Linked DNA regions of Mus musculus. The protein of the gene in region 2 purifies or fractionates together with the protein of the main gene of each other region. This does not show direct contact. Links are inferred from orthologs where the notes say so. Each region holds a gene or a part of one and is shown on either strand. Other genes may lie near its edges. The genes, in order: Mitf and Sumo1.

What was found.
Region 1: the proteins of Sumo1 (region 2) and Mitf purify together in Homo sapiens (affinity purification with western blotting; 3 studies listed by BioGRID and IntAct, with this or other methods). This does not show direct contact. The link is inferred for Mus musculus from reciprocal best matches to the Homo sapiens genes SUMO1 and MITF.

The regions. Positions count from the first base shown.
Region 1 is NC_000072.6:98,016,356-98,020,169, reverse strand, and holds part of Mitf (microphthalmia-associated transcription factor), read right to left. Parts: intron 2,397-3,814; coding exon 1,995-2,396; 3' UTR 1-1,994. UniProt on the Homo sapiens protein: Transcription factor that acts as a master regulator of melanocyte survival and differentiation as well as melanosome biogenesis.
Region 2 is NC_000067.6:59,667,724-59,672,173, forward strand, and holds the start of Sumo1 (small ubiquitin-related modifier 1), read right to left. Parts: upstream 3,112-4,450; 5' UTR 2,969-3,111; coding exon 2,957-2,968; intron 1-2,956. UniProt on the Homo sapiens protein: Ubiquitin-like protein that can be covalently attached to proteins as a monomer or a lysine-linked polymer.

The DNA.
Region 1 (3,814 bases), on a different chromosome or scaffold from region 2:
AACATGCATGGGAACCGCGCACTTGACGAATCTCACCAAGGCCATCCATTCATACATCTGACAATCACTGCTCTTGGATCTCTCCATCACCCATCACCAATTCACATTTGACATTTAAACACTTTAAAAAAAAAAAACCCTCCTGAGAAAGGTTTCCTGATGAAAGAATTTGGCACTGTCAGTAAAATATATTTCATATTAAAAATATCTGAAGGGAAATTGGAAGCTCTTAGAATGTCTACAGAGGCACCACGCTACGTCTTCCTTCTTCACTCCAGATTCCATCTTGAAACTTTCTCCTAGTTACAGTTCAGTCAGTGCTGGTCCAAAAGAGACTGCTGAGATTTTTAAGGCACTTCATTCTGAAAGGGTATGCTTTATGCCACACAGGATTCAATCGTAGGCTGCTACTGAGAAATTCCATTAGGCAGCCTGGCTTGTACCAGTATGTATCACCTGCACAAAACATCTAGACTTGATACATGTAACTCTACAGATATTGCATAGGGTTATGCAAGTAAGCAATGCACAGACACTAACTTTACAATGTTGCCACTTGGTCAAAATGTTGTTATCAAGTAATCTGCCAATACAGTGTTTCTCTTTTTAAAAAGAATCTAGCCGGTGTGTTGAAATAAATCCTAATTGAATTGACCATCATGGGCATGGTAAATGCTATGGCTATCAATCTTCAAGAATATAGTTATTTTAATACCCTAGAAATACATATGTAAGTATTTTTTTCTAGAAAGCCTGGTTGTTAACCTATTAATACTACACCTTAAATGTGTTGAAAAACAGTTTCAAGTGATAGTGGAATATACAAAATATTTGCAAAGCTCTCTTTGAACACAAGACCTTGCATAAAAGTAGTCTTTCTTGGGTGTACAAAGAATGCAGAGAACACCAATGAGTTGTAAAAGTATTGAAAACTCACTGTTTTAAGATGCATATTCTTACAAATTAATACAAACACTGAAAAAAATGATGATAATAAAGAATCTATACAATTAAAATGGCTAAAACATAATTTAAAAATAAAAATAGTAAAGCCAATTAGAAATGTGCCCAGTTCAGTTGTCTTTATCAAAAGCAAAAATGGAAAAAGAAAAAAAAAAAAAGAAAAAAAAGTGAAACAAACATCCGGTGTCCTCAGAGAGGACATTCATTTCCATTTCAAAAAAACCTTATGAAAAATTTAATCACACTTATGAGGAAAACTATAACTGTGCCCAATAAAAGCCAGCAGGTCAGATCCTATGTTTCATGCCTTGGTCTAATAACTTCTTTCAGTTTGGGTTAGCATAAGTTACATTTTCTAGCCAGACAATCCTCATGAAAATGACTGCTAGATTTGTCTGTATGTAATATATTCTTCTTTACGCAGTTTTCAGTACAAAGACATAGAAACGCTGGAAGGAAGGGAGGGCACTGTGTCTTTAAGGCAGTACCAGGAAATTGCCGCATTTAGAAAGCGAGAAAGTCTTGGATGTCTTTCCCACCATCTTTCTTCCTCCTCTTCCTCCTCCTCTTCCTCTTCCTCCTCTTCTCCTTCTTCTATCATAATCATCATCTTCTTTGTTTTCTTCTTTTGGTTGCTTTACATTCGTGTAATTAAACTTTACATGTTAATTTCAAAGGAGGTCACAGACAGACAAAGCTCACACCAAGTTTTCCCCTGAATGAAAACGGACAGACACTTACTTCTCTGAAGCAAAAAAATCCCCTTGCTCAGAAAGCTCACACTTGGAGAAATCAGTTCACAGATACTGCACGCTGAAGGTACAATACTTAGGAGGCCTTTGTAGTTGTAAAATAGAATATACAAGTCTGGCTCACAAAATTCTAAAAATAAAATATATCCTGGGCTACTGATAAAGCACGAAAATTTCATATTAAAGGAAAATTATCAAGAAAACCTCTTCAGGTAAATTATAAAGTCTCCTGAAGAAGAGAGGGAGCGGTCCGTGCAGAGGCAGAGCAAGGCAGGCTCGCTAACACGCATGCTCCGTTTCTTCTGCGCTCATACTGCTCCTCCGGCTGCTTGTTTTTGAAGCTCCTGGCGACACTGATGACAGCAGTGGGTCGGTGACTCCAACAGGTGAGAGGGCATCGTCCATCAGGATGTCTTCCAAGTTGGAGCCCATCTTCCTGGGGATGCTGTAGGCCGGGCTGCTCTCCGGCATGGTGCCGAGGTTGTTGGTAAAGGTGATGGTACCGTCCGTGAGATCCAGAGTTGTCGTACATGTCAGGTCTGCCTGGTGCTGTACAAGTTCCTGGCTGCAGTTCTCAAGAACTGGTTCTTGCTTGATGATCCGATTCACCAGATCAGGCGAGCAGAGACCGGTGGATGGGATAAGGGAAAGTCCATGCGCTCTAGCCTGCATCTCCAGCTCCTACGATAAAGTCAGAGTCAGACAGTTAAGGAAGAAACTGTGCAAGCAGTGTTAGGTGCGGTTACCCAAATGCATGGAATATATATCCCCATTAGTGTCTCTACCTAAGGTTTTGGAGGACAAGGAGAAACCAGTTCTAACAAAGGGGCCACTGAGGTGTCCATTTTGATGATCCGGGGGACTGCATGTTGGATGACATGTAGTGACATGTGGAGCTCTCTAGCGCTTATATTCTACTGTACTGTGAACCTGAGACTGCTTTTAAAGACTGAAGTCTATTTTCTATTTTTAAGACATCAGACCTGGGGACAACTATAAACTGTCAAAGCAAAGCTTGCTACTTTTCAAAAATAAATTCTGCATTTCCCAAAGACAGGTGGTATTAGGAGTATAGGAAATATCCTTTTAGATGGTATATATTTTTATTATGAATTACAAATAGAAACAGTCTTACAGATATTAAGGATTAAGACAAGGATAAGCACTCAAGTCAGACTGGCCAACATCAAAAAACAAAACAAAACAAAAACCACCTACAGCAAATGCTGGCAAAGGTGCTTGCTGTGAGGAGACAGGGACCCTCACCACACTGGTGAGGAAATGTGAACTGGTACAGACACCACTGACAGCCAGTGTGGGGCTTCTTCAAAAGACCAGAAACAAAATTACCCCATGGCTCCCCCCATTCTACCCCTGGGTAGTTTCTTGAAGGGCTTAGCGAACATAGAGATGCTTGCATGTCCACGTCTCTGTGCCTTCGCTGATCACAATGGCCAGGGTGCAGTCAACCTAGATGCTCCCTATCAACAGATGAGCTGATAGGGAAACTATGAGATGCCTACACAAAAGAGCTGTATTCAGGGTCAAAGAAACCCTGAAATTGTTTGCAGGGAAATAAATGCAACTGGAGGTCACTGAGTGAAATAGAATAAGCCCGACCATGGCAAATACTGTTCTCTCTCATATGTGGACTCTTTAAAGCCTGTATGTATGCATAAGACATGACAGTAGAGGGGACTCTACAGGGAAGGATAAAGAGGGCCAACGGAAGGAAACTGGGTGGGACAAGACAGTAGTGGGGGATGGTAGATACGTGAGCATGAAAATGTCACGGGGAAGCCCATATTTTTGTACAAGGCACGTATGCTAATAAAAAATACAAAATGGGAGCTAACAGAAATATAATGCTGAGCAATGTGTAATATGTTTGGGAGATATTTTAAGATTTCAAGGGAAATGGTGATGGTTTCTCAACAGCTACCAAGTGCCAGACGGTCCCCTGATTTAGAATGAGTGTGCTACACACATTTTGATCCCCATTTTCAGTGAGACTGTGTTACACAGTTTTCAGTCCCCCGTTTCAGGGCAAGTGTGCTACACACTTTCCAGTCTCCACGTTCACAGTGACTTTGTACAAT
Region 2 (4,450 bases):
CATTTATTTTCCTGCAAACTCAAGCTGTTACCAAGACCAGCAGAAATTAATAACAAGCTATAAAGAACACTGTAAAAACTAATGCTATCACAGCAGCAAAAATACAAGTCATGTAGAAGACTAACAATAACTTCAACTTCTTTTTAACTCCTATTTAGAAATGAGGTAGGTCTTTCCATGAATCTGGGGTGACCTTTGGGATTTGACTAATATAGGACCCACTTTCAGCACTGACGGCTCTACAGAGGTCCTGAGTTCTAATTCCAGCAACCACATGGTGGCTCATACCCCTCTGTAATGAAATCTGATGTCTTCTTCTGTTGTGTCTGAACACAGCTACAATGTACTCATATATACAATAAATTAAAAAAAATAAAAACCTATCAACTGAGCCATGGTGGTATATACATTCTGGGAGTAAGAGGCCGGCAGATCTGAGGACAAGCTGATCTATAGAGCAAGTTCCAGGACAACTAAGGCTACAGAGAAACCCTTAACTTGAATCAATAAATAACCCCTAAAAAACGTTAGCATACATTTTTATTACTTTTTTTAAAGACAAAATTTCTAAGAGTAGCAGCACTATTTCATATGCAAATTGCTTTAATGTGTAGCTCAATTAAAAAGACTTGTTTTGCCAGGTGTGGTGGTAGACATCTTTAATCCCAGCACTCAGGAGATAGACACAGAAGAAACTGTGAGAAGCTGTAAGGCTACAAAAAAGATTTGCTCCATTTTTCTGTCATGTTTCTTAAAAACTTCACTGAATATCCATGAATGAGAAAAACAGACACACACACATACATACACACACACCATCTAGGCGTGACAGTATAACTCTGTAATCCCAGCTACTCTGCAAGGCTGAGAGAAGTCCAGGTTCAAGTTCAAAGGCAAGCTGTGCTACAGTCCAACCTAGGCAACTTAGTGAAACAAAGTAAAAGAAAAAATGAGGCTGTAGCACTTGCCTGGCAAGCACATGTGGGAGGCCCTAGGTCCAACACCTAATAACCCCGGTGACCAGTGAGGTGAGTGCTACAGCAAGCAACAGTGTGACTTTGCGATCCCCTGAAACCCTGTGTGTGCCCTTGGGTCCTCCTTTCTTTCTCCATATCCTTATATAATGTGAGTTCAAACTAGAGCAAAACTAATCCTAAAACTTAGAACTCTTTCTGTGTGTTGCCCTCTCTTCAGGCTAACATGCTTTCTAGCTCTTCCAAAATAGAAGGCTGATGAAACTTAAGCATTAACCCAAAAAAAAAAGAAAAAAAAAAAAAAAAAAAAGAAAGAAAGAAAAGAAAAAACAAAGGCCAGGCGTGGTGGCAACGCCTTTAATCCCAGCACTTGGGAGGTAGTGGGGGATTTCTGAGTTCAAGGCCAGCCTGGTCTACAGAGTTCCAGGACTTAAGCATTTACAGCTGATCTTTCTGAGCTGGTAACTAAGTAAACAACTGTCATAAACAAATTATTCATAAAGTCATTTCTATCCCAAAAGAGGATTAATTCAGATTATTAATAAGTAAATCCATGCCACAATTAGTCTACAGTGTAGATAGGCTATAAAAATAGAACCACCCTGGCCAGTCTGTGGTGGCACAAGCCTTTTATCCCAGCACTCAGGAGACAGAAACAGGCCGATCTCTATAAATTGGAGGCCAGCCTGGTCTACAGAGTGTTCCTAGAAAGCCAAGGCTACACAGAAAATCCGTGTCTCAAACAACAACAACAAATTTTTTTTTTAAAAAAGTCCAACTACATTGTGAAGTTGAATGAAAAAGTTTACTGAATAATTATCACAAAAGAAGAAAAAGTTAAAAAAAAAATACTCTGAAAATTAAGTCATCTGAGCAAACCAAAGCAAAGTCAGACCAAAACCTTATGTATATAAAAACTAGCCACAAAGGTAGTAACTAAAATAGGATGAAGAAAAATTTAGGTGGCAAGGAGTCACTCCTATTTGAAGGCAAATACCATGCAAATCCTTGATTCCAAAACCGAGACACACTGTTTTACTACTAATTGACAGCTTTCTGCAAATATTCTGCAATTGTACAACACGGATAACTTTTTTTTTCTCTATTTCTTCGAAAATTAGTTCAGAAACTTCTGGAAGAGAGGTTTGGGGGTGCATATAATCTAAATGCGTCATCTGATTATCAAAGAACAAAAAACGTGCTATATTTTTTTTTAAAGTGCCAAGCATCTGCTGGTTAAAGCCCAGACGAAATGGCTTGTTGGTGGTGGCACTCCATACACAGTTTGCTGTTTCTCGGTTATTCTGAGCGCTCTGAGAACTGGAGAGTTGATGGACCAATCCCGAGTAAGAAATGGAAAGTACAGCGAAAGAGCGGACCGTTCCGCACCCCCGGAAGGAAAAAAAAAAAAAAAAGACTGAGGTGTGCAGAGATGGACGGACCCTCCAGGCAAACACAACGGAAAAGCAGCGTCCTCTGGGCTCCCAGTCACCTCAGACACGGCTCCCCGGCCGCCCCCCACTCTCCGGGACCAAGAACCCAAAGTGGAGTCGAGCTGCTTTTCAGGGCCACCTAGCCTCCCAGTCGGGGATTTCCCTCCCGTTACATAACTGGGCCTAGGGCCTGGTTTCTGCCATCCGTCGTCCGAAGGGAAACGGTCGTTTTCCCCTCAGCTTGCTCTCGGGGACAAGGGAGCGGGCCTGGGCCCCCTGCGAGCCCGCGAGAAACCTGGGCGCCGTCGAGAGAGCCCCGGCGCCGGGTGGCGCGGGGGTAGGGGCCTCGGAGAGGGGCGCGGAGGGCGCGTGGAACCCAGAGCCCCGGGGTCCCAGGCGGCCTGGCCCGACTCCGCCAGGCGCCCCGCGTCCCTCGCGGCCCCCTCCCCACGGGCAGCCCCCTTCTCCAGCCGCCCCCTCCCCCGCGCCTCAGTCCAGGGCCCCAGCCCGCGGCCGACGGCCCTGAGCCCTAAGGCCCCGGCCCGGTACCTGGTCAGACATGGTGACGTGGATTCACCCGGGGGTCTCCGCACCACTGCGGCCTCCGGCAGGCAGAACCTCACTCTGAGGTTTACAAATCCGTCCCTTCTCTACAGCACAACACCGCGGCTGCAGGGACTTCCTCTACGTCTTGCGTCACTTCCGCTGCGCGCAGAGGCGAGTTAGCGAAGACGGGAAAAGGAAGCGGGAAAACGCCGTAAGGAAGGCCGGGGGCTAAAATCCTCCAGGTTGTAAACTACTTGCCTGGAGCAAGAGAACTGCTAGGACTTCGGAGGGAGGGAGAATCAGGCCCGCTGCCGCAGCCCTCAGGGAGACCAGCGCTTTGCCTGCAGGCCGAATGTCTGGGGTCAAACTGACTGCTTAGGCTCCTCCCGGTGGGACGACTTGCGCGCTTCTGAGGCCCGGACCAACCCTCACTGAATATAGTGAATTACCCGTATAGTATTTTTATAGGCCCCTCATGCTTGCTGTTGCCACATTCGTGACTCCGGGTGATAGAGGCAGAGGCTACCGGATCTCTGTGAGTTCGTGGCCATCTTCATCTACAAAGTGAGTTCCAGGACAGGACATAGAACCCTGTTGGGGGCGGGGGAGATGAGGGGGCACAAAAAGACGACCCTTCAGGACACATCTTTTGTTCTTGTGTTTTGAGGCAGGGTCTCACTAATAGCCTTGGCTATTATAGAACATTGCAATGTCAACCAGACTGGCCTCCAACTCGTAGAGATCCTCTTGCCTCTGCCTCCCAAGTGCCACCACACCCCCAGCTAGAACAAAGTCTTGGTGGCTACAGACAACTAAAATGCTACTGAAAGTTTTGAAGTTGTAGGCAGGAGCGCCTTCCAACGCATAAACTAGTTGCCTTGTGTCATAGAAAGACCTAAACTGCTTCCTTTGAATACAGTGACCTTGCACAAGCATTCAAGGAGGATTAAGGTTATAATAAGTAAAGGGGGAAAAATGAAAACTTAAATCAAAAACCCTTCACAGAACAAGACATTAGTAAAATAATCTTTTCTGTAAATAGTAATGAGCCAACTATAAATGACCCAGTAGTCAAAGAGCACTGGCTACTCTTCCAGAGGACTCAAGTCTGAGTCCCAGCACCCATGCATGCATTCAAAACTGCCTGTAACTCTAGTCCCAAGAATCAGATACTTTTTTCAGCACCAAGCCAAAGCCTGAATGCGGTTCATAAACACATTCAGACAAAAACACCCATACAAAATTAAAAATTAGTAGGTACAATATAATTACTAATGAAAATACTGAACATTCACATGCGAAAGGAGAAAGAATTTAAATCCCTATTTCACTGCATATACAAAATTAAAATGTTTCAACGGTGTTTATGTAAGACTGTTTTAGGGTTTTTTTTTTAAGATTTATTTATTTATTTTATGTATATGAGTACACTGTAGATGTTGCAGATGGTTGCAAGCCTTCATGTGGTTGTTGGGAATTGAATTTAGGATCTCTGCT